Sus scrofa: one gene and its partners. The protein of the gene in region 1 interacts with the protein of each later gene in a biochemical or structural test. Links are inferred from orthologs where the notes say so. Each region holds a gene or a part of one and is shown in the gene's direction. Other genes may lie near its edges.

Region 1 (4,167 bases):
GAACCCTCCTCGGTCTCCTCGGCTCCGCCCACTCGCCGGGGCTGCAGCTTCCTACCGTCGCGTACTTCACTCTCCGGCCCAGCAACCCGAGTCTCCGCCCGGGTGGTGGAGCGCGGAACCGGGCCCCGGGGCGATCCAGCCAGCCAGGTTTTCACAGCGGCCCAAAAGGGGGCGGGGCGAGGAGTCTTTGGCTCAGTTCGACGCGGTGAACCCTACTGGAACCCCGAGGGGAGAGATGCTCTCTGCTCTCCAGGGGGCTGGGGTGCATCCCAGCGTCGGGTATCAGCTTTCATTTCACCTGGACATTTGTCCTTTGGGATCTAGAAATTCAGGGGCGATGTGTTCATATTCAGCACGCTCTGCTGGACCTTTCAATTTTAGGGCAAATGAACCAGGTTGCCGGGGAAGCGGGAGGTGGGGCGATGCAAGGGAGCCGGATGAGGTGATACACACTAGAGACACAATAGGGGATTCTTTGTATTAAGACTGACACCTTGAGGACACGGGTGGGGGTGGGGGATAGGTGGATTTTTTGGCAGAGGCTGCTGCAGTCAAATCCCTGCGAACGATTGTGATCCGACAGCGGTGCAAAAGGACGGGGGGTTGCAGGCCGTGCCAGGGAAATCTGGGGGCAAGGGGAGAGGTGTCCTCGCTGTAGGGACCATCCTTGCGCTTCCCGGTACACTACCAGCGCAGTCACCTGGTCTTTCCCACCTGTGCACAGGTAACCTCAGACTCGCGTCAGTGACACTGCTCAAAGAACCTGCCTCAGCCTTCACCTTAACCCCCCTGTCTCGCTCGCAACAGCCTATTCTGCCTCGGGTTGCGTTGCTGGGCACAGGCTATGGTTCAGCTCGTCCCCCCACCCTGCGTTGCTGCAGAAGCAGCCGCAGCAAGTGCAGCTTCAGGAGGGGGCCTCGGAACAAGCCCGAGCGAGCCCCGGGCAGTCATACTGGGCATGCTCAGTGGCGCCAGCAGGTTGGGGACTCGGCGCTCGCACCAGAGCTGCCGCTTCTGCCCCCTCCCTAAAACCCCAGCCCTGCCCTGCGCGTCTCTCCCCTGGCGCGGTCCGGCCCGCCTCCCGCCTCCCGCCTCCCCTCGGGCTCCCAGGCGCCCCTGCCCCTAGCGCGGCGGCGGAGGGGGCGGGCAGGCTGGCGGGCGGTGATGTGGCGGGACTCTTTGTGCACTGCGGCAGGATACCCGTTCGGAGCCGGGACGCGGCTGCGCTCAGTTCTCTCCTCTCGGAAGCTGCAGCCATGATGGAAGTTTGAGAGTTGGGCCGCTGTGAGGCGAGACCGGGCTCAGGCGAAGGAGATGAGAGACGGCGGCGGCCGCGGCCCAGAGCCCCTCTCAACGCCTGTGAGCAGCCGCGGGGGCAGCGCCCTCGGGGAGCCGGCCGGCCGGCGGCGGCGGCAGCGGCGGCGTTTCTCGCCTCCTCTTCGTCCTCTTTTCTAACCGTGCAGCCTCTTCCTCGGCTTCTTCTGAAAGGGACGGTGGAAGCCGTGGGCTCGGGCGGGAGCCGGCTGAGGAGCGGCGGCGGCACCTCCCGCTCCTGGAGCGGGGGGGAGAAGCGGCGGCGGCGGCGGCGGCGGCGGCTGCAGCTCCGGGGAGGGGGTCGGAGTCGCCTGTCATCATTTCCAGGGCTGGGAACGCCGGAGAGTTGGTCTCTCCCCTCTTACTGCCTCCAACACGGCGGCGGCGGCGGCGGCACATCCAGGGACCCGGGCCGGTTTTAAACCTCCCCTCCGCCGCCGCCGCACCCCCCCTGGCCCGGGCTCCAGAGGCCGCCGGAGGAGGCAGCCTTTCCGAGGATTATTCGTCTTCTCCCCATTCCGCTGCCGCCGCTGCCAGATCTCTGGCTGCTGAGGAGAAGCAGGCCCAGTCGCTGCAACCATCCAGCAGCCGCCGCAGCAGCCATTACCCGGCTGCGGTCCAGAGCCAAGCGGCAGCAGAGCGAGGGGCATCAGCTACCGCCAAGTCCAGAGCCATTTCCATCCTGCAGAAGAAGCCCCGCCACCAGCAGCTTCTGCCATCTCTCTCCTCCTTTTTCTTCAGCCACAGACTCCCAGACATGACAGCCATCATCAAAGAGATCGTTAGCAGAAACAAAAGGAGATATCAAGAGGATGGATTCGACTTAGACTTGACCTGTATCCATTTCTGTGGCTGCTGCTCCTCTTTGCTTTTCTGTCACTCGCTCTTATAACGTGGGAGTAGACGGATGCGAAAAATGTCCATAGTTTGGGTGACTATAACATTTAACCCTAATCAGATTTCTAGATCATGTATATTTTGTGCTGCTTTTGAATGCATTCAGCCTAGGGTGTGTTCATCTAGACAGAACTCTTGCTTGGTTGCAAGTGTCAAGGCGCCCATGGGTTTCTTAGTCTGTCTACGGGGTCTCTTCCTAAGGGCTATTGTCCGTTAATACAGAATACAGTACAGTGTTAGTGGATTAGTGAGCTCGGTAATCCGGTCTATTAAATGAACAGAAAAGTAGATGCTTTGAGGTTGAGCATATTTCGATTAAATCTTGGCTTTAGGCCCTAGATCAAGGGTATAGATCAGATTAAAATGAAAATTAGTGTTGCACGTACGCATATTGCATCAGAATCTTGCAGTGATTGTTTTGAGTTTCCTGGGTTGCATTGATAGATTCTTTTAAAATGTGAGTTGTGAACTGATTTGCATAACTTTAGAGAGAATCATTTTAGCATATATGGTGCTCATTTGAAGGCAAAAGTAGGTTTGTGTGTTAAAACAAAGTTAATTACAACTTTGAACTGCATGTGGAAGTTTTGTAGCTTGAAATCAATAGTGCCGTGGTATATCTCATAAATCGTTCTTATTAGATCTTTGTTAAATTTGCTCCCCTCCCCCCATTGGGGTGATATGGGATAGGATATGAAATTTGCAATTCAGTAGCATTTTATATTCAGTGCTCTTGTGACAAGTAGTAGAATGGAGATTGAGTGGTTTTTGATCCCAGATGATAAGGTTGTATAGGTTGAAGGGTATAGTGTGTAGCAAATGGTGATTGCAGAGATTAAACTTCAGTTTCACTTGAAATTTAAGTATTATTGTGATGCCAGAATTGCTGCTCACCTTATTTAGGTATCATGTCCTCTGACACCTTTGGGTATCCGTTAATCTTACTCTGACTTGTGTAGAATGTCAAGTACAATTTATCAGCTAATAATCAGACTGGCAAGAGTGGATTACTCCAGCTTCAGATTGTAGGTGTGTTCCGCTTTTTCCATACGGTGTCTTAAATTTACTGAGTCAGCTTGTTGAATAAGATAGAAACCCAAGAATTTCAATAGTGTATAGTATTGGTTGTCTAACAGGCCCTTGTACTTCAAAAGATGCTGGTTATCAAAAGGCATTAATCTTTGCAGTTTCAGGTATAATAAGCTGGCTTTGATCAAGGATGGGAATGGAGCCCTTTTTTGCAGAATGAAAAGTATCAGAAATTGAGAGTTACGAAAGGCCAGTGTATAGACATGAGACAGGATTAAGTTACTGGTCTGAGGTGACTGAAGCATTTTTTTAAGCCTCTATTAAGATAAGAAATTTGGTGGTATGAATTTTACTAGTTGACAATATTTAGTTAAAACTATGTAGTTTTATAAGTGTTAATATTCTTTAATAAAAGTGGTTTCTTAGCAACTGTCAGTAAACATCTCTCCTAAAGGTAAAGTGAGACTAAAGTGTTTATATATGTACAGCTAAAAATTGTGGGGGAGTTTTTTTGAATCAAACGTTGTATATCTGGAGAGATTTTATTCCTTCGGGTTATGTATGTGCACATAGTGTGCACAGCTAATTTACTCGAAGTATTTGTTTTGAAATGAAGATAAAATTACTGAAGAAATAGCTTTACCACGCACACAAGGTAACCGTTTTCTGTTAAGTTAAAAAAGAATGTTTAAAAAGAATATTTGGAAATTTTAAAGTTGCATTAATTGAAAACTTTACTGAGACTGAACTTGACCCGCTTACCCAGAAGTTAATTACGGAAAAACTCTTCTGATTTGTAACTTACTTCAAAAATAGTCTACTGTTGGCGTAAACTGACAGTCATCTGAATATATAGGAACACATTAATTAACTGTTTAACTTTTTAAAATAAGCCTCCATTCAAAAAATTTTCCAGAATGCTGTTTA
Region 2 (3,966 bases), on another chromosome or scaffold:
TCCAACCCGCATCTTCATGGATACTGGTCAGGTTCTTAACTCGCTGAGCCACAATGGGAATTCCTCAGTTCCCTCGTTTATTAGCTGCGTGCTATGGGGCAGTTAGCCCCTCTCTGGGCCTCAATTTTCCCGTTAAAGTGGTGTTACATGAGAGTGCCTACCTTAGAGGGTTGTCAAAATTACAACAAAGAACAGGTCTCATGCCGACCACAGTGATTGGTCTACAGTAAGAACTCAACATGTTCGCTCTCTTTATCTTTTCATTCTTTTAACTCACTTCCCCCACTCCTCCACCCTAGAGCTCATCAGGTAAAAACCGCGGGAAAAAACACCTTGAGGCACAAGAGGAAATGCTTGACCTGGGGGCGGGACTTGAGGTGCCCATTGCGCATGCGCTCGCTCTTTCAGGTCCTAGTATCCAGCTTGTGGGGTGGGGGGAGGGTAATAGGGCCGCGTTCCTCTGGGTCGCCCCCTTCCGGCCGAAAAAAATGGCAGGCCTTCAGCGGCTTCGTGGACGAGCTCAGGGCTAATCGAGGGAGGCCTGGGCAGGAGGGGTAAATTCGAAAATGGCGGAAGGGGAAGGAGGAGGGGCTTTGCTGGGCGGGGGCAGAGGCCAGGAGACTGCGCGGGCGGGCGCCGGGGGCGGATGGGCAGTGCCGTGTGCTGTGTCTCTTTGAGGCCCTGACGTGAACGCACTTTGGATTCCCCGACTCGGGGTTCCTCCCGGGGATAGGCGGGCTGCTACGTGCGAGCTGGGGAGACTAAGAGACTTCCGTTTCCTTCTAGCCGGGGCCTGGCCTCCGGGAGGAGTTGGCATTTCCAGATTGGGGCTTGGGCCGCCCCTCCTCCAGGACCCTCCCCTCAGCACTGCGCGGTGCGCCCCGGGCGATCCAGGCCGGCTCTCAAGGCGCGGTGGGTACTGCCCGAACGGGCTTCCTCCTCCCTCCCCTTTCCTTCTTTTCCCTCCCCTCCCTCCCTCCCCTCCTTCTTCTCCCCTCCCTCTCCTCCTTCCCCTCCCTCCCCTCGGGCCCCGCGCTGCGGGGAAGGGCGGAAAGGCAGCCCCTGCCCGGCGCGGGTGGCCCGCCCGGGACTCAGTGCCCAGGTTCCCTGGACTGCCGAAGAAAGGCGTGGGTGGCATCGGGCCGCCAGGCTGCCTCCTTAAACCCATGACCTCTAAGGTAAATCGAGTCAAAGAACTTTTTTCTCTTAATGATCCAAGGGACACCCCCCCCCCAATCTAATGCCTGCGGCAGGTATGGAGCTGGGTGGGGTGTGTCTGGCGAGAGTGTGTGAAACAGAAAGAATAGGAGCCAAGGACCTTCCGGAAGAGGAAATTAGCTAGTAATTCTTTCCAACCTTTGCTACCCTCGTCACCTCCCCAGCATATTCTGTGAGTAAAACAAAATTCGGTCTAACTTTCAGTTTCATTATTTTAACTCCGTAATACACTTAATTCTTTTCGTTTCGGGAGGAGGGGTTATTGCTGAAACTAAACGACAGCCCACTAACCCTTCAGAAAAAGAAAAACGTCAATCAAAGCTTTGTAAAGACCTATCAGATTTTAATAATCTACTACTTTGTTTTAAAATGTAATTACATCACTATTTATGTCACAAATGTACTACTTTTGTAGTTAATGACACACAGATATTTGCTCTAAGATTGGAGGTTGCTATAGTGTTTGTTTCTTGTCTTTTTTAACTTAACATTTGTTATATCCAGTTCAAGAGAACACTGTTACAGACGGCCATCTTAGAATTATAACATTTTAGAGTTGAAAGGGATCTTAGTTCAACCGCGGTATTTTACAAAAGCAGAAACTAAGGCACAAGAAGATTTCATGGCTTGCCTGAGGCTACTCCATTACTTAGATTAGAACCCAGGTTGTCTGGCTCCTGGCTCACTGCTCTTTCTGCTCAGCTGCTCCACATAGCCTCCAAGCAAGAAAATTAAAACGTATTCGGTGCACATTTTGGAAGTATGTACCACTTTGTGCCATACAACTGTGCTGCCTACTTTCAACGTATTTAACATGTTTATGAAGCCAGTGCTTGAGGTATTTTTCCCCGTCGTTCAAGGAATGGCAAAGATTTAGGTTAAAAAAATGTATACATAGACAGGCCTACTTGTATATGCTCAGATAATTTCTTGAATGGTGCACAAAAAAAAATGTCATCAGTGGTTACTTATGGAGGGTGGAGGGGGTGGGAGGCTTTTTACTTGCACTTCACATGTGACCAAATGTATCGTTTGAATTTTTTACCATAAACAACTATTGATTTTATAACTAAAAACAAGTTTTAAAGTTCACACACACGTGTGTATCAGTATGAACAAGTACCAGTGGTGTGTGTATATATGTTTATATACCTATATGTATTTAGGTATCAGTGGTTTGTACTGTAAAATCCAGATTGGTTCATTTCAGCCCAACTGGCAAAGCAGGCCAGATTATTGGATGCTAACATTTCATCTTTGGTTTTCTTCTATTGATCCTAATGTAAGAAGGTAACAATAATATATGTTATTAGTTTTTATATATTTTTAGGAGATGTGCTAAGCTTTTGATTATTGAATAATGTAGCAAATTATAACATTCAGGGTATCAAATTTGACACAATGAAAAAATTCTGAATGTGGAATCTTTGTGGATAAAACTCAATAAAAAATTTAAGACTGGAAAGGTCCCTGGTAATTAATTGTTCAGCTCTTTTGTTTTTATGAAAGGTTAAGACATAAAGATGAAAAAGGAAGTTGCCCAAGGTTATATATTTGATTATTAACAGAGCTTGGATTAGTGTAGGTCCTAGTCCAGGGCTCCTTGTACTACATCTGCAGTTTTATCACTTTCTAGTGCATTCATCTAGGGGGATGAAGTAATCTGACTAAAGATTAGTCCAGCCCATTTCAGTAGATAAGTATTATTGCAATTAATGTATCAGTTTGTATAATGCTTGAAATATTTTAGTAATGTAAATATTCCCCTTATATTTGGTTGTAAGCCTTCACTTAAGAAGTCTTTTATTTAATTAATAAATGCTGGAGTTCCCATCGTGGCTCAGTGGTTAATGAATCCGACTAGGAACCATGAGGTTGATCCCTGACCTTGCTCAGTGGGTTAAGGATCCAGCGTTGCCTTGAGCTGTGGTATAGGCCAGCAGCTACAGCTCCAATTAGACCCCTAGCCTGGGAACCTCCATATGCCTCAGGTGCAGCCCTAAAAGGACAAAAAGACAAAAAAAAAGTTAATAAATGCTTAGAGACCCCAAATATGAAATAATTTATATTTCACTGTTTTGGGTTTTTTTTTTTTTTTTTTGGTCTGGTAGTTGGTGCTAACAGGGGGAAAAAAATCTATGATTTTTTTTTTAATTTATTGAGCACTTACTATGTATGCCAGGTATTACACTATGTGCTAGAATTCCAAAGATGAGTATGGCAAAATAGATGCCCTTGTTCTTTTGAGGACGGGAGATTATCATGAGCTGTCAGTTCTAAAGCTTTGTCTCTGTGGTCTGATCTGGTAATAGTATTACAGTGTAATCTGTAACACTGTTTAAGGTCATTGTGTGAGCAGATTTGAGGAGATAAAAACAGTAGTGGTAAAATAAGTTGAACTGAACAAAAGCTATTCTTAAGAGGTCATGAGGTTTGGTGGAAAGAGCCCTTGATTGGAAGCCAGGGTTCTTGTGTTGGCTTTGTTTCAGGTAAACTGTGTAATTATGAGCAAATCACTCAACCTCATTGCCTCCATATTTCTTTTTTTCTTTTTCATAACTTTTTAAATATATTCCATTTAATTCAAAACATGAAAAGAGCAATTGGAATATTACATCTTTTTTTTAAGTGGCTGAAGATACTCTTTTATTGAATAGGTAGCATCATAGGTATACAGGTAGATATTAAAGTGTTTAACATTGGTTTTGTTTTCCTAAGTAATTCCCCATTATTTATCATCTTAATATT
Region 3 (3,500 bases), on another chromosome or scaffold:
CAAGGTCAGTGGACTCAAAATAGCTCCTATAATCCTACAAAGAGCTCAGAGCGTTGTCTTGCCCTCCCCACCGTCCACCTACAAAAGTTAACAGACTCCCCTTCCCAGTGTTGCCTCGGATGAGGGGCACAAGGGCCCTGGCAGAGAGAAGGAGCATCTTGGCCTGTGGTGACCGCTCAGCTCACTGCCTCTCATGGTGTGGGGACATCTTCTCGCTGGGTGTTGGCTTAACTTGCTTCTGGTTCTCTGTGTGCTGGTGGCGTTGCCCGCTGTGTTGGCCCCGTGGATCAATGGCTCTTTTTCCGTGGTGACCGCGATAACCTCCTCTCCAGGCTCTGCTTGGTGGTGTGGCTCCCGCCCCGTGTGTGTCTGTCTCTCTGTGTCCTGCCAGTGGTTTTACCCTATGGTAGGTTACGTCATGCTGTTCTACCACAGGGTAGAACCACGGACAGGATACCGGGGCACCCTCTGCATCGAAGGACTCCTCATCTGCCCGGCCACAAACAGCCCAGCAGCCAGGGACCGGTCCCCTTGGGCTGTCCCCCTGCTGGTCTAGCTCAAGCTCCAAAAAGGACTCTGACATCTGGCTTCAGGCTTTACCTAGGGCCCAAAGTGATGCCAAGTCATGGACATGGGTTCACAGGAATGCGTGGACATACAGGGAAGGGTATGATGATGGGGTCGGGGGCGAGGGAATGGCCAAGTGCCCCAAGGGCAGCGAGATACCTGGGCTGTAGCTGGGGGAGTGAGGTGCAGGCACAGCATGGGTTCCAGAGTTTTTGTGCATCGGGAGTTAGGAATGTGTTACCACATGTTCACAAGATGCTGCCTCCTCAGCTAGGGCGGAAGCAGGCCGGCTGCTATTCATAAAGCATTTCTGTGAAGTTTAGAAAAAGGTACCCTTTCTCAAGACACTTCTGTATTGGAAAATGGCCACAACATACTGGGTTTTATCCGAAAATGGCAAAATGGCAACTTTACAGCTGTTTGCAGGGACATTGTTGTGATAAATGTACAAATTATGGTTTTTTAAAAAGATTGTGCTAAAGTTTAGTTGATATAAAATGTGTTAATTTCTGCTGTATAGCAAAGTAACTCAATTGTACATGTATCTCTTCCTTTTCATATTCTTTTCCATTGTGGTTTATCACAGGATACTGAATATAGTTCCCTGTGCTATACAGCAGGGCTTCGTTGTTAATCCATTCTATATATAATAGTTTACTTCTGCTAATCCCAAACTCCCAATCCTTCCCTCCCCTCCGCCTTCTCCCTTGGCAACCACAAGTTTGTTCTCTATATACGATATTTTAACATAGTGTCCTTGTGCAGTGCACAGCCCACACAGCTGTGCATGGTGGCTCAGGGTGCAAGGAGCCCCTTTGCCGTTAGTTGCTCTGGATATCGGATGGGAAGTCCTGGAATGCAGCACCCAGAGCTAACATGCACGCACATGGGTCTTCCTGAGCATCATTGTCAAGTGCACTTGTTGTTCTGGTTCACCTCGGGTCTGACTCTGCTCTGTCCGTAGAGATTGGCCCAGCTGCTGATCCTGGTGGGGCTGCCTCCCCAGGACACAGGTCTCCAGACCGGGTGAAACAGGAGGCAGAGGAGAGTTGCAGCTCCAGAGGGGGTGTGCAGGGAGGGATCCATTAGTCTTGTCTTTCTCTCTCTTCTCTCACAGAGAGTGGTTTTTCCTCCTGTCCCACGAGGTGCTCAACCCCATGTACTGTTTATTTGAATACGCCGGGAAGAACAATTACTGCCTGCAGATCAACCCCGCCTCCTCCATCAACCCCGACCACCTCACCTACTTCCGCTTTATTGGCAGATTCATTGCCATGGTAAGAGTCACTGCCACAAGACCTCCAGGGCAGGCGGTGACCCCAGACACCAATGGCAGCTCTGCAGACTGGCACCCCCTCTCTGGGCCCCACCCTCATCCTTATAGAACTCCTCACTGAAGGTGCAAAAAGCTAGTGAGAGTTCCAGCGCTAGATCAGAGCTCTCTCGGTGGCCACCACAGGGTGTTGAGCAAGTTTTCCTTATTGATTCGTGTAGGACTCACCAAGCGAAAGCCCGGGCTCCCCGGATCAGAGTCTTCACTGAACATTCGTCGTGTGCCCTGTTGGGGTGGGGGATGACGGGCACGGCCCACCTGCTGCCCATCTCCGGGTGTTGCCACGAGCTGGGTGGCAAGAGCTTGGGAGGGTCTGACTATGACTCAGACCTTCTGGAAGGGAATTGGGAATCTACACTAGCTTAGAACAGAGCTCTGGTGGACCAGCTGGTGCAAGATGGAGGAGGCACCTGTCACGAGGAGGGCAGAGTAGGGAAGAAGAGTCGGTATTTGTGTTTCTGCAGAAATAGGCTCCACAGAGTGAACATGAAAAGGGGGTGACACTGGGTGCCTCCGGTTGAGTATCTCACGAGTATGGAGACAGGGGGATCTCTGGGAGCCCCAGTCCTGCTGCCATATTTGGTAGCTTGAGATGTTTTGCTGCTAACTTTCCTTCACTTCTTCCTGAGGGAGTGCCCCGCCCTGCCCCCCTCTCGGGGGGACCCAAGAGCCCATGACTAAATATGTCCTTTCCCTTTGTCTGGAAGTTCTTGGCCAAGGTGCTGGGCTCAGGAAGTGGGCACATTCTTCCCAGGTCTAGAGACCCGCCTGGCCCCGCAGCTGACAGGACAGACCAGTAAAACCCTAGACTATTACTCACCCCTGGCCCGCCAGCAGCGGCGTCTGCATTATTTTTGGCTGCCTCTGCTGCCCGGCTCTGAGCACCAGTGAGTCAGGGCCGCCCTCTGGAGCGGTACAGAATGAGTCTTCTCTGGGAGCTTGGGGCTGACTCGGCCAGAGCAGGGAGCCGGTGGGCGGGTGGGCAGGTGGTGGGCCTGCTGGGCCTGCAGGTGGCTCCCTGAGGTGTGCAGGTGGGACCAAGGGCCCTGCTTGTTCCAGGCCTTCCCTTCAGCCCCTGGGGCAGCTGGGTGCTCAGGAGGGCGGGGAGCAGGAGCCGGGCTTTGAGATGGGGCATCCTGGGAAAAGCACACCTCCTCGCCCTGTTGCCTCCTTCCTCAGGCTCTGTACCATGGAAAGTTCATCGATACGGGCTTCACCCTCCCTTTCTACAAGCGGATGCTGAACAAGAGACCAACCCTGAAAGACCTGGAGTCCATCGACCCCGAATTCTACAACTCCATCGTCTGGATCAAGTGCGTGCCCCTCCCTCGCCCCACGCTGGGTTAAAGGCTGGGGTGGAGTGGGGGGGCTGGGTAGCTTCCAGTCTGCCTGCAGGGCAGCTCAGGAGGTGTCCTCTGCCTCCCGAGGTGGGTTCTAGGCCACCTGCGGATCCCCGTGTCCCGTGGGCCCTGCAAGTGCGTGACAGCCGAATTGGGGGAAGGCCCCTTCTGTGACAGACTTCTTCCCCCTGGGTCTGTCGTGCCCCCAGAGAGAACAACCTGGAGGAGTGCGGCCTCGAGCTGTACTTCATCCAGGACAT
Region 4 (3,500 bases), on another chromosome or scaffold:
TTACTGAGAAACAGAGCACCTCTTTCACTAGTCTCATAAATAATTCCATTTCTCTATGTCAACGTTAATTGAACTTACTTCATGTTGTCAATCTCTTTCTTTTTTTCCCTTGCAGGTGATGTCATTGTCTATATTAATGAAGTTTGTGTCCTTGGACACACTCATGCAGATGTAGTCAAACTTTTCCAGTCTGTTCCCATTGGTCAGAGTGTCAACCTGGTATTATGCCGTGGCTACCCTTTGCCCTTTGATCCTGAAGATCCTGCTAACAGCATGGTGCCACCCCTTGCAATAATGGAGAGGCCACCTCCAGTGATGGTCAATGGAAGACATAACTATGAAACTTATTTGGAATACATTTCTCGGACCTCACAGTCAGTTCCAGATATAACAGATCGGCCGCCTCATTCTTTGCACTCAATGCCAGCTGATGGTCAGCTAGATGGCACGTATCCACCGCCTGTCCATGACGACAATGTATCTATGGCTTCATCGGGGGCCACCCAAGCTGAACTTATGACCTTAACCATTGTGAAAGGTGCCCAGGGCTTTGGCTTCACCATTGCAGATAGTCCGACAGGACAGCGGGTGAAACAAATACTTGACATTCAGGGATGTCCTGGCCTGTGTGAAGGTGACCTCATTGTTGAGATCAACCAGCAGAATGTACAGAACCTGAGCCATACGGAAGTAGTGGATATACTTAAGGACTGTCCCATTGGAAGTGAGACTTCTTTGATTATTCATCGAGGAGGTAAGATAAACACTGGCTCAGCAATCACAGTAATATTGAAAAAATAGAAGTTTCTCTGGAGTTGAATGAAGCCATACTTTTCAAAATGAACGTAAAAAAGTAAGAGCGAAAAATAGTCCAGGAAGCTGTGCTTTTGAATTTTGAGAGTATATCTCTTCCTATTTTATATTGAGTACAATACAAATAGTGCTTTCAATCTTACAAATATATTGCTGTGAACTGAGAGGGTAAATATTGAATCGCCAGGTATGAGTTGGTTATATTCCAGAAGTTCATTAAGGTATCAGTTGTGGAGGCCTCAAACTGGCTTCCATTGACTTAATTAAGAAACCTGATTCTTCCCATGGAAGCAGTACTCTGAGCTGTGCTTAGGATTGTAAGCTAGCAACTGGAAGTTAGTTCAACCAAGCTCAGGTACAGGCTTGGTAGTCCCCAAAAGAGCCAATGGGATCTATGTCACCATAGAAAAATTTTTTCAGAGTTGTGAATAGGGTTGCTCAGGACACTTCTTCCATTATTACAGGAATGCTTCAGTAATAATTACCCCCAGCACCTTCTGTGACCTGGGAAAAGAGTTATGGAGCAGGGTTAGGGCTAAGGTTTTGGGCTGGGTGTTCCAGGTGAAGTATGGAAATGGCAGCAGCGAGGACTGTGATAGGAGCTCTGAGCCCTGGAAGTTTCTTCCCTTTCACCCTCTCCATGGGGAAGGTAGTGGTGCTAGGTAGAGGGGGCCTCCTTCATTTCTCTGGTATTCTGCTCTTTATTAGAGGCAGAGAAAGGGGAAAGCAGAAGAGAGGCACCTGAAAGCAGAGTATGAAGGAAAGACTCAAGCTAAGTCCTGGTTTTCCACTTAGCAATTTGGGGTTTTAGGACACTTCAAGTCTATGAGCCTCAGATGTCTCATCTGTTAACAATGGGATGATAATACTACCTAACCTGATGGTAGTGTCCTTAGTGTAATGGCCCACCATAGGTGCTCATTAAATGTCCATTGAGTCTAAATTAGCACCAAAGCTACAGCAGGAATGGGTCAGGAAGAGCAGTGCTGTGAGGAACTCATGTGCTAAGAGCACAGGGGTGCAAAAATATGTGATTGTCTATTCAAAGTGCTAAAAATAGCATGAAAGCCTCTTCAGTTTGAAATACAAATGAAGCAGTCAAAGCTGAAAGAAGCACTTTTTATGACATATATGGCCCTCCCTGCAGGTGTTTCCCCTTCAAGGAAGTATTTTACATTACTTATTCCTGGTGTAAAACTTTGACACCAAATACTAAGCTGTTGTGAGAAACACCATGCAAAGTACTATGATTCTATATTTTAAAAAAGAATTAATGTGACAGCAGAAGTCTTAAATGTGACCTTAAAGCATTATGACAAAATAGCACTTGAATCTTGATAATTAAATATTGACAGTGTATTTTAATTTCTCCCGTTGCTTAAGATTAAAACAAATATTCTTTTGTTTTGTTTTGTTTTGTTGTCCTTTTATGGCCATACCGGCAGCATATGGAGGTTCTCAGGCTAGGGGTTGAATCAAAGCTGTAGCTGCCAGCCTACTCCACAGCCACAGCAATGCCATATCCAGGCCATGTCTGCAGCCTACACCACAGCTTACATTGACGCTGGATCCGAATCCACTAAGGAGGCCAGGGATCGAACCTGCGTCCTCATGAATGCTAGTCAGATTCATTTCCATTGAGCCATGATGGAAACTCCAAAAACAAATATTCTTAATTAAATAGCCTTAGCTTCATAATGTACAATCAAAAATCAAATCTTTGTAAAAGGTTCTTGATAGTAAAATGCGTAACTTAAACTCACTGTGCAGTATCCACTATATGATTCATAGAAACAAGTTTGAACACATTTTTATATATATAATACCATTTTAAAAGGTATCATATAGCAGAAAAAGTATTCTGAAATTGTTTATTCATATATATTCACACCTATATAATATGTATTTATAATATTGCCATTTGTACCTTTTCTGAAAATATTTCTCCATGCCTACTGTCAGCTAGATTCTCCTATTCTTACTCATCCTTTCCTCTATTCTCCTCCACCCCAATTTAATCCTCCAGTCAGAGTTTTTTTTAATTGACGCATAGTTGATTTACAATAGTGTGTTAGTTGCAGGTGTAGAGCATAATGATTCAGTATTGTTGCAGACAGATACATAAATCAAGCATTCAAAGCTTTGTTTGCATATTGTTTGTGTTTGAGGGTGAGGTATTTCTTTTTATATTGTGGCTAGTGTACAACTAGAAAAGGTAGTACCCTGTGATGCTTAAAGTACTTCTAGTCAAAAACCTCTTGTTTTTCCCCCAATTCCCACAATTAGCACTAAGCTCTCTGAAATTAGCAGGAACTAATGCCATGTTTTTGTGATGAAATTCACTTTGATCATCTTACTATACGCTACTCAGAAGTGTATATGGCCTCATTCAAATAAGCCTAAATCCTCAAGAGCAGATTCATACACCTGGGTCTTTATGTCAGGATCATAGTTGTTTATTTTAAATGATTTACTAGGATTTTTGATTTATAAAGTAATTATGTGGTTTAATTTTTTTTCAAACAGTGTCAGAAGGTACACAATGAAAAGTAATTCTCCCTCCTGTCTCCTGCTTTCAATCCTTTTCCTAGAAGCAAACATTTTGTTTGTATACACAAACTTCCAGAAATTTTGTAGTGTTAACTAGCGTGTGTATGAATACCTGTAGTATATTTAACATTTAACAT
Region 5 (3,500 bases), on another chromosome or scaffold:
TAGCACATCTCACATAGGGGTTGGAACACGAGCAGGTCAGTGGGGCCCTATGGAGGGAGGCTTCTCCTGGCAAACAAAGTAAGTAGCACCTTAGGGAGGTGACCCAGGCCCAAGGGTAAAGCCATGAGGTTTTGGAAGAGCTCCTCTTTGCCCGCCAGGGCTTGACCTGCTGAAGCTTGTTAGGCAGAGCCCTGGAGAAGTTTGTTTAGATGAATGGTGTTAGCTTTCAAAGTGAAGTTCAAAAAGGAACAGCTAGTTATGATTTTCAAGCATTGATGCTATTTGGAAATAAGTGAATATTTGAAATTGTTCCAAACAGCTCAGCCCATTAGGTGTGGTGAGAGGCTGCCTGGCAGGTTGGTAGAGTAACTTTAGTAAAATTCCAGCTAGAAATCCTGTTACCTACTAGGAGAAATTTTTTTTTTTCTTTTTTTTTTAGGGCTACATCTGTGGCATATGGAGGTTCCCAGGCTAGGGGTCCAGTCGGAGTTATAGCCACTGGCCTACGCCACAGCCACAGCAATGCCAGATCCAAGCCGGGTCTGGGACCTACACCACTGCTGATGGCAATGCCGGATTCTTAACAACCCACTGAGCGAGGCCAGGGGTGGAGCCCACATCCTCACGGTTACTAGTCTGGTTATCACTGAGCCGCGTAGGAAATCAACTTAAAAAGGCTTCTTGGGAGTTCCCGTCGTGGCTCAGTGGTTAATGAATCTGACTAGGAACCATGAGGTTTCGGGTTCGATCCCTGGGTTAAGGATGTGGCATTGCCGTGAGCTGTGGTGTAGGTCACAGACGCGGCTTAGATCTTGTGTGGCTGTGGCTGTGGTGTAGTCCGGCTGCTACAGCTCCGATTGGCTCCCTAGCCTGGGAACCTCCATATGCTGCAGGAGCGGTCCTAGAAAAGACACACACACACACAAAAATAAAATGTCTTTAGGTTTTCATTGTCTATGAAGCAAGAAGTCTGTTTCGAAGGCTAATTTGTGGCTCCTTTTTTTTTCCCAGGAAAATACGTGGTGTTCTTCTTTTACCCACTTGACTTCACCTTTGTGTGCCCCACGGAGATCATTGCTTTCAGTGAGAGGGCAGAAGAATTTAAGAAACTCAACTGCCAAGTGATTGGTGCTTCTGTGGATTCTCACTTCTGTCATCTGGCCTGGTAAATCTCTTGGTCCATTTGGCACGTGGACTTTTGAACTGAGCAGTGACCGGGACTGGGCAGCTTTGGCAATAGACTTTCTCAAGTATTGGCCTCTGGCTCCTCATGGAAGGAGTGCAAAGGTGTTTTGACTTCCTCTTGTTGTTCTCTTATTACCTGGCAGCTTGGGTTGAGACTGCATGTACCCTGGTGACTTTAATTGTCCTTAGCTGTTTACTTTGCTGGGAAAAGCATGCAGCGTTTGGGGAGTTAGATTAGGAAGGTTGGAAATGGGAAGGAATAAATACAGTTAATGCTTTTGCTACAGAAGAATTTGAATGAATGTGATTGATTTTTTTGCTTGTAGGATCAACACCCCCAAGAAGCAAGGAGGACTGGGACCCATGAACATTCCCTTGATATCAGACCCCAAGCGCACCATTGCGCAGGACTACGGGGTCTTGAAGGCCGACGAAGGCATCTCATTCAGGTAAAAACCTGCGCGGGAGCTGACTGACAGTCAGCAAGAGAGTCATCTGATTGGCTCAAGGTTTTTATTGGAAAGGTAGAGCCCTGATCTGTAGAGAATTCTGATTTCATTTTTTTCCTGTTTTGTGGAGGGAATTGACGTACATCACTGATCGTTCATGGTCTCATTTCATTCTTTAGGCCTGAGGGCCTAAGGGGAAGGAAGGCCCATGTAAGTGCCAGAGACCACCCCATTTCAGTTTCTGCTCTGCTCTAACAGAGCCGATTCTAAAACTGCCGTCTCCCTCATACCTTGACTGTTTTCTCTCTAGGGGCCTTTTTATCATTGACGATAAAGGTATTCTTCGACAGATCACCATAAATGACCTTCCTGTTGGCCGCTCCGTGGATGAGACTCTGAGACTAGTTCAGGCCTTCCAGTTCACTGATAAACATGGGGAAGGTAAGCCAGGTCGCCTGCTAATAGGACAGCAGAATGGTGGGGTGGGGAGAATGGAAGGAACAAAGTCTACCAGATAAGAAAAGAATTTTTATGTCTCTTTAAGAAATTGCAGTCTTTATGGGGAGTTCCTGTCATGTCATGGCTTAGCAGTTAACGAATCTGACTAGGAATCATGAGGCTGCAGGTTCGATCCCTGGCCTTGCTCAGTGGGTTAAGGATCCGGCATTGCCGTGAGCTGTGGTGTAGGTCGCAGACGCGGCTCGGATCCTGTGTTGCTGTGGCTCTGGCATAGGCTGGTGGCTATAGCCTGGGAACCTCCATATGCCGCGGGAGTGGCCTTGGAAAAGGCAAAGAACAACAAAAAAAGGGCATTTGCAGTCTTTGGATTACTGTGGGTGGGTGTGGTGGGGTAGTGGAAAGGCTTGGGGAGGAGACTGTAAAGGCTTTTTGTTTCAGCTGCGTATTCCCAGCTCCTGCCCTGCTCATTTAGAATCGCTCACTGCTGCTGAGTCAACTTGTTAAAGGAATGTAGGAGCATCTCCTAGGTGTATAAGGGCACAACCAAAAAAGATCGAGACTCCCATCTAGAGAAGTGGGCTGTTCTTGACAGTCGTTTATTGGGAGAAGACCATATTCTTTAGATGATACTTGTTTTATTAGGGTTTTAAACAAGTTTTGAGATTTGGGAAATAAAAATTGGACTAAGATAACTTAACCGAAGACAATAGGCAGATAACAATTAATACTTTCTATCTTCTAAAGAATCCATTCTGTGGTGTGATGTGGTTGCCCTATTTGTAAGAATTGTAGTCACCAAATACCAAATTATATAAATGTTTAATATAAAAGTTATTTTAAAGGAGGAGTTAGGGCTAGGGAGTTTGAAGTGAAATATCAAGATTCTTCATTGTTTCAGGATCAAAGAATGTTTTTGTGGGAGTTCTCTCATGGTCTAGTGGTTACGACTTGGCGTTTTCAGTGCTGTAGCTCTGGTTGTCCTCACATCAAGTTGCCGCATGGCCTGGCAAAAAGCAAAGACCAAGACCAAGAAAAATGGGAGTTCCCAACATGGCTCAGTGTGTTAAGAACCTGATCAGTATCCATGAGGATGTGGGTTTGATCCCTGGTCTTGCTCAGTGGGATAAGGATCCAGCATTGCCATGAGCTGTGGTGTAGGTCAAAGATGTGGCCCAGATCCTTCGTTGCTGTTGTTATGGTGTAGGCTGGTAGCTGCTGCTGCGATTTGACCCCTAGTCTGGGAACTAAAGCATGCCACAGGTGCTCCCCTAAAAAAAAACCAAAAACCCAATAAAAAATCCTCCAAAAACCTAAATATAAAAAAAAATCTCCCCAAAGATAATGTTTTTGTGAGTCTGTCCTTGTAAAATCTGTGACTGAGCAGATTCAATTTGTTTTTTTTTTTTA
Region 6 (4,121 bases), on another chromosome or scaffold:
AAAGGATTGGATTCAAAGCAACCCAGGCTGAGTGATTAAAAAATGTGGGATGGAAAAGCAAGACCAAAGAAAGGCCCAGAACATCAAGGAGAGAAGAGTGTTCAGGGCTAGAAGGCAACCTAATAAAATAGGCCAAAGTTTGGTTGGCCACCCCACCCTCAGTCCATACCCAACTCCTAGCCTGTCCCTTCAAGGCAGGACTCTCACAATTCTCCTGCTCTCTGTCCTCCCAAACCAAACCAAGGTATTTCTATGGTCTCAAAGTGTCTCCACACATTTTGCTTATTAATTACAAAGGGAAAAATAGGAACTTTACAGTGAGTAACTTGGCTGACTCCAACTTAACCAAGTGAGGATATGAACATAAAGAGAGTTCTTAGGGAAGGTTCTGGAAGGATATTTTGGGGAAAATGTAAGATAAGGGTTTTGTGGATGAAGAGAGAAGGGGAAGTCTGGAGGTTCAAGAGTCTGTGGGTGGCAGGGGAGAGTCTATCAGGGAAGATGGGCTGTCTCTGGGAGGGGTGGGGAAATCAGGAGTTGGAGAGGTTCTGAGTGAAAAGAGCAAGTTTCATGAGGGAGGGACTTGATGGGAACAGTTTGGGTGACAAAAGTGTCACAGCAGGGTCGGTATGAGAGGTCTGGTGGTGAAACTCTGGATGACGAAAGGGTAGAGAGCTTTGGGGTAGGGGGTCTCTAGGAGAGTCCTGGAAGAGTAGGCGAGGGGGCAAGGCTCTAGGACAGCAGCCTGTGGGCGGGGAGGCCCTGTGATGAGCGCTTTCTGCCAGACCAAGGATGGGTAGATTTGGAAGGGGATCCTGGAGGGGCGGGGTCAGGGGCGGGACCAGGCCGGCGGGCGGGTCCCCCCGCGCTGCAGGGGGCGCTGTGAGGCTGGGCGGCCCCGGGCCGGGCGTCGGCCGCTCCTAGTGAGCGCGGCCCCTTTTCCGGGTTTCCTCCTCCTCCTTCTTCGCCGCCGCTGCCGCTGCCCCTTTCCCGGCCGGCGGCTGCCGCTGCTGGTGCCGCCGACGCCGCCGCCGCCGCCTCGGGGCCGCGAGCCGAGCGGAGGCCGCCGCGGAGCGCGAGCGCCATCCGCCCCGCCGTCCCGCCGGCAGCTCCAGGGCCCGGCCGGCTTGGCCGGCGCCCCCCGCGCCCCCAGCCCGCCCGCCCCCGCGGGCCCGGCCTGGCGCGGCCGCCCGCCGCTGCGCTCCTCCTCCTCCTCCGGCGGCCCGCGGCCCGCCGCCTCCTCCGCCCGCCGCCCCGCGCCCCCCGTCGCGCCGCCGCCGCCGCCCTCGGCGCCCCGCGACGCCCCCCGGTCCCGCCCGCCATGCCGGGCCCGGCCGCGGGCAGCAGGGCCCGGGTCTACGCCGAGGTGAACAGCCTGAGGAGCCGCGAGTACTGGGACTATGAGTCTCACGTCCCGAGCTGGGGGTAAAGCCGCCGCCGCCCCCCGCCGGGCCCTCTCACTCCCACCCCCGCCCGGCCGTCCCCCCACCCCCCGCGCAAACCGCACTTGTCCCCCGCTGTCTATCTCCTCGCCTGCCCCTTTGCTGGGCCTGCGCTTCTCCGGTCTGGGGTGGGAGGTCCACTCCCCCCACCAGTGCCCTCGTCTTCCTCTCCTCCCTTCCGCTTCTCCCTCCCCGTTGTGCGTACCCCTTACCCCAGGGTATACTTCCTTACAAGTGTAGGGGTCCAGGGACCAGAGCCCGGTGGGAGTAAGGGAGCAGCCTTTCCTTTTACGCTTTGGGGTTTCTATTGGGGTGGGAAGTCAGCAGCTGTCCTCTTGAGCTATTAAAATTCTTTGCTTTTCTATTTTTTTGAAATGAGGATGGGTGGGAGGAAATTTTTTAAGGATGTCCAGATTCGCAAGGCAGGCGGTGTCTACCTTCTGGGTGTGCAATAGAAGGCAGGTGCTGGGCGGAGGGGCACCTCTGGGCCTCCGGGATGGATGCTTTGCTCACCTCTAGATTGAGTCAGACCCGTGCCTTCCACCTTATCTCCCCTAAGTTATGAGGGACCAATTAGGTTAGGAACTGCGTCTAGTGCGAGGAGCCAAGTTTATGTTGTGGCTTTCATTTAGGGAATGAGTTGTGGCATGATGTGTAGACACTTCCAAGTGCTTGATTAATGGAAGCGCCTGGATGGGGTGTGTAGTGGGCATAGGCTTGGTTAATCCTAAGTCCTGCCATTTATATTTGTCGCTCTTGGCTTTCACAGTAATCAAGATGATTACCAGCTGGTTCGAAAACTTGGTCGGGGAAAGTATAGTGAAGTATTTGAGGCCATTAACATCACCAACAACGAGAGAGTGGTTGTAAAAATTCTCAAGGTGAGTGTCTTATGAGCGGCGTTAAAGTTTCTTTTTCACAGGTCAGAAGGATATGAACTATTTCAGCCACATTCTCCAATGAGCAGTTTGAGCTCTCATTTTGCATCTGTTCTGTCTGATGTCCCTCTCCTACTCCTCCCACCTCATTTTCCTGTGAACTTTCAAGAAAATCTGCAGAAATAGGCAGACCTGTTTCAACTCTAAGTGTGATGGTTCAGGAACATGCTTGTTCTGAAATGTAATTAAAGGCTTCCAAAGTGAAACTTCCAAAGGGGCTCCATTTATTAGAAAATAAATAGGCATTCAGAAGCAAAAAGAGCCTTTTCATGAAGATCCTATCAACGCAAAGGCTCCTCAAGTACTGTATATGTTATTCCAGAAAGTTGTAAAAAAGTAGCTTCAAGGATGCATTTGAAACCTGAGTGGAGGGAACCACTCCTGTGGAAAAATGACTTGTTTTTTCCTTCTTGGTGTTAAAAGTTTCAGGTAAGATGGATATAGTGAGCCAGTAGTGCCAGGAAGATTCATTGTTGCTTATCAGCTAGTAAACGTGAAGTTGGGTTGTTTTGAATTAAAGCAAAACAACCTGTCTAGTTTATAGAACCCTGAATTTGTTAAAGATACCTTTTGTCATCTCTTGAAGGAAGGCTTGATCTTGATGAACATGAAGAGTTGGCTAAATTCTCTTCTGAGTAACTGGTTGTGTAGCTTTGATAATGTGTCAAAGGCATATAAAAAATAATTCTTAGACTCTTTTCAATGATCATTGCCTGATCATTTAATGTGCGTGCATGTCATTTAGTGAAATCACGAGAAGACCAAAGAGTTGATTAGTAGGAGCATATAAGCACTTTCACATATACAAGAGTTCCAATGTGGCCATTTTGGAGAGGCTCTGCGAACAAGAATGTAGGATTGAAAAGCTGTTTTTGTGCCTTAAGTAAAGTTGGGGCAGCTGTGTCCCGATTTAAAAAGGGAGGTCAGGCTTCGACTATCAGAAAATCACCTTTCAGAAAAGTGATTGACTCTGTTACTGCTACCATTCTAGCCTTGTGATGAAGAGGCAGGTTTGCAGAGAAATAGGCAAGTTATTTGTGCTGTCAGAAACACTGGGGGGGAGATGTGAGGAATTGATACTGAAGATAGGGAGTTTGACTCTCCTCTTCCCTAAATATGAACTGCTCCTACAAAGTCACGTGGTCTTTATTTTTTTTCTTCACAAATATTTAAAGAAATATTCCCATCAGAGAAGTCACCTGGGAAACCATACAGTTTTTTTCTGTTAAACATTAGCATAAATGTTTTTAATAGAGCTACTTAAAATCTCTCTAGGAAATAAGCAAGGCATAAATTGACATTAGGAGTACCCATATCCCACTGTTGTGCAATCAGAAGAATAAACTGCTGACTCTAAAGCAATTCCAGAAAAATGTCTAAACTTTGATGTGATGGTAGCATTTTTAGAGTAAGTATGCAACTTCCTGTGGCGTCTTTTGAAAGGGAACCACATTCAGGTGTGTATATAAGTAATAGTACATTCATTTAGGGAAGTGTCATATTGCCCTTTTGTCATCCTTGTGGAGAACTTCATAGCCTCAGTTGCTGGATAGTTTTCCCCTGCTCTAAAGATTTATAGGATATGTTTAGGGTACCCGATATGGAAACTGAAGGACATTTTTAACCAACCAGAAATTTAGGCACCAAGAAGCATATCTAACGTCACTATGTTGAAATAACCCTTGGCCAGAACTCCTGTTTCCTATTTTTTTCCTCTCTCTTACTGTTTGTTTTAGTGTTA
Region 7 (2,163 bases), on another chromosome or scaffold:
GTGTAGGTTAAATAAGACAATAGATATTAAATGTCTCACATACACGTTACCGGTTTTTCTTTGCCACCAACACCCTGCAAGGTAGTAAACTGTTAGTATTCTGAAAGTCAGCCCACTCATAGTGTAGCTATCCTATATAGAGTATTCCTGCATCATTTGCAATGGTTAATAACGAGAGAGAGAAAACAATAATCCTCTTAGTTTAAAACCTCTAGTAGAGGGATCCCCAGAAGGGTGTAGTTCAGGATCTAGGCGTCTTAGTGAAGTTAGGAAAGTTTTATTATATAGTGATAAGTTTTTCTAATAAAGAAAAAAAACTCTAAAAGGGGGAAAACTGCAGACTCTTAGGTTAAAAGGATCTCTCTCTGATTTGCCTTTATCAATATTGTTGAAGTAGGTGTTGATTCTAATGAAATCTTTTCTTTCTAACAGGTTGTAAAATTAAAGCGCTGAGAGCCAAGACGAACACGTACATCAAGACGCCTGTTCGTGGTGAAGAGCCCATTTTTGTTGTCACTGGGCGGAAAGAAGATGTTGCCATGGCCAAAAGAGAAATCCTCTCAGCTGCAGAGCACTTCTCCATGATTCGTGCATCTCGAAACAAAAATGGCCCGGCCCTGGGAGGGTTGTCATGTAGTCCTAATCTGCCCGGTCAAACCACCGTTCAAGTCAGGGTCCCCTATCGTGTGGTAGGATTAGTAGTTGGACCCAAAGGAGCAACTATTAAAAGAATTCAGCAGCAGACCCACACCTACATAGTAACACCGAGCAGAGATAAGGAACCTGTCTTTGAAGTGACAGGGATGCCCGAGAATGTTGACCGAGCACGAGAAGAAATAGAAATGCATATTGCCATGCGTACAGGAAACTACATTGAGCTCAATGAAGAGAATGATTTCCATTATAACGGTACTGATGTAAGCTTTGAAGGTGGCACTCTTGGCTCTGCATGGCTTTCCTCCAATCCAGTTCCTCCCAGCCGCGCCAGAATGATATCCAATTATCGAAACGATAGTTCCAGTTCTCTGGGAAGTGGTTCCACAGATTCCTACTTTGGAAGCAATAGGCTGGCTGACTTTAGTCCAACAAGCCCATTTAGCACAGGAAACTTTTGGTTTGGAGATACACTACCTTCTGTAGGCTCAGAAGATCTCGCGGTTGATTCTCCTGCCTTTGACTCTTTACCAACACCCACTCAAACTATCTGGACTCCGTTTGAACCAGTTAATCCACTCTCTGGCTTTGGGAGTGATCCTCCTGGTAACATGAAGACTCAGCGTAGAGGAAGTCAGCCATCAACTCCTCGTCTGTCTCCTACATTTCCTGAGAGCATTGAACACCCACTTGCTCGGAGGGTTAGGAGCGACCCACCTAGTACAGGCAACCATGTTGGCCTTCCAATATACATCCCTGCTTTTTCTAATGGTACCAATAGTTACTCCTCTTCCAATGGTGGCTCCACCTCTAGCTCACCTCCAGAATCAAGACGAAAGCACGACTGTGTGATTTGCTTTGAGAATGAAGTTATTGCTGCCCTAGTTCCATGTGGCCACAACCTCTTCTGCATGGAATGTGCCAACAAGATCTGTGAAAAGAGAACGCCATCATGTCCAGTTTGCCAGACAGCTGTTACTCAGGCAATCCAAATTCACTCTTAACTATATATATATACATAAATACTATATCTATATGGACTCGTAAAGGCATGGGTATAATGGTACCCCCAGTAAACTTCCTAATGAATTCTTATGACTGTTATCAGGCTTTATTGGGATTAGGCTAAAGTTGTTAGTAAACTTATAAAAGGCTGCTATGGTAACACTAAACCTAAGTGGTCTCTTGTCTATTAGTTTGGTTTGAATTATTAATACTATCTTGTAGACGCAGAGACATAGCTTGTGTAAGAATTGCTAAAGCTGACGTTCAACTCGGCTGAGTGAAGATAATCATAGGTTGTGTGACCCTATGAGAAAAGTGTATACGTCTAAGATTTCAAAACGATGGGTCCCAAAGCCTAACCACATTAAGAGTTTATGGAGGGTACTTGGCATTACAGATGATTCAGACACTTCCAGTGCTGCCTTCTTTACACTGCCAGTTTTGACAAAACAGGTTTGTTTGTTTTTTATTTTACAACAACTTATGCCTAATTCTGCAGGATTG

What was found.
Region 2: of the proteins of PTEN (region 1) and XIAP, one has a biochemical effect on the other in vitro, tested with the Homo sapiens proteins (2 studies listed by BioGRID). The link is inferred for Sus scrofa from reciprocal best matches to the Homo sapiens genes PTEN and XIAP.
Region 3: the proteins of PTEN (region 1) and WWP2 form a complex in vitro, tested with the Homo sapiens proteins (7 studies listed by BioGRID, with this or other methods). The link is inferred for Sus scrofa from reciprocal best matches to the Homo sapiens genes PTEN and WWP2.
Region 4: the proteins of PTEN (region 1) and MAGI2 form a complex in vitro, tested with the Homo sapiens proteins (2 studies listed by BioGRID and IntAct, with this or other methods). The link is inferred for Sus scrofa from reciprocal best matches to the Homo sapiens genes PTEN and MAGI2.
Region 5: the proteins of PTEN (region 1) and PRDX1 form a complex in vitro, tested with the Homo sapiens proteins (2 studies listed by BioGRID and IntAct). The link is inferred for Sus scrofa from reciprocal best matches to the Homo sapiens genes PTEN and PRDX1.
Region 6: the proteins of PTEN (region 1) and CSNK2A2 form a complex in vitro, tested with the Homo sapiens proteins (2 studies listed by BioGRID, with this or other methods). The link is inferred for Sus scrofa from reciprocal best matches to the Homo sapiens genes PTEN and CSNK2A2.
Region 7: of the proteins of PTEN (region 1) and MEX3C, one has a biochemical effect on the other in vitro, tested with the Homo sapiens proteins (2 studies listed by BioGRID). The link is inferred for Sus scrofa from reciprocal best matches to the Homo sapiens genes PTEN and MEX3C.

What each region holds. Positions count from the first base shown.
Region 1 is NC_010456.5:99,928,223-99,932,389, forward strand, and holds the start of PTEN (phosphatidylinositol 3,4,5-trisphosphate 3-phosphatase and dual-specificity protein phosphatase PTEN), read left to right. Parts: upstream 1-1,367; 5' UTR 1,368-2,071; coding exon 2,072-2,150; intron 2,151-4,167. UniProt on the Homo sapiens protein: Dual-specificity protein phosphatase, dephosphorylating tyrosine-, serine- and threonine-phosphorylated proteins.
Region 2 is NC_010461.5:101,399,011-101,402,976, forward strand, and holds the start of XIAP (E3 ubiquitin-protein ligase XIAP), read left to right. Parts: upstream 1-1,166; 5' UTR 1,167-1,178; exon of another isoform or gene 1,179-1,390; intron 1,391-3,966.
Region 3 is NC_010448.4:17,074,483-17,077,982, reverse strand, and holds part of WWP2 (NEDD4-like E3 ubiquitin-protein ligase WWP2), read left to right. Parts: intron 1-383; exon of another isoform or gene 384-453; intron 454-1,684; coding exon 1,685-1,844; intron 1,845-3,079; coding exon 3,080-3,213; intron 3,214-3,449; coding exon 3,450-3,500. UniProt on the Homo sapiens protein: E3 ubiquitin-protein ligase which accepts ubiquitin from an E2 ubiquitin-conjugating enzyme in the form of a thioester and then directly transfers the ubiquitin to targeted substrates.
Region 4 is NC_010451.4:101,931,193-101,934,692, forward strand, and holds part of MAGI2 (membrane-associated guanylate kinase, WW and PDZ domain-containing protein 2), read left to right. Parts: intron 1-115; coding exon 116-754; intron 755-3,500. UniProt on the Homo sapiens protein: Seems to act as a scaffold molecule at synaptic junctions by assembling neurotransmitter receptors and cell adhesion proteins. Plays a role in nerve growth factor (NGF)-induced recruitment of RAPGEF2 to late endosomes and neurite outgrowth.
Region 5 is NC_010448.4:165,850,390-165,853,889, forward strand, and holds part of PRDX1 (peroxiredoxin-1), read left to right. Parts: intron 1-1,011; coding exon 1,012-1,165; intron 1,166-1,511; coding exon 1,512-1,634; intron 1,635-1,944; coding exon 1,945-2,075; intron 2,076-3,500. UniProt on the Homo sapiens protein: Thiol-specific peroxidase that catalyzes the reduction of hydrogen peroxide and organic hydroperoxides to water and alcohols, respectively.
Region 6 is NC_010448.4:20,013,925-20,018,045, reverse strand, and holds the start of CSNK2A2 (casein kinase II subunit alpha'), read left to right. Parts: upstream 1-1,321; coding exon 1,322-1,425; intron 1,426-2,211; coding exon 2,212-2,323; intron 2,324-4,121.
Region 7 is NC_010443.5:100,677,952-100,680,114, reverse strand, and holds the end of MEX3C (RNA-binding E3 ubiquitin-protein ligase MEX3C), read left to right. Parts: intron 1-432; coding exon 433-1,658; 3' UTR 1,659-1,663; downstream 1,664-2,163. UniProt on the Homo sapiens protein: E3 ubiquitin ligase responsible for the post-transcriptional regulation of common HLA-A allotypes. Binds to the 3' UTR of HLA-A2 mRNA, and regulates its levels by promoting mRNA decay.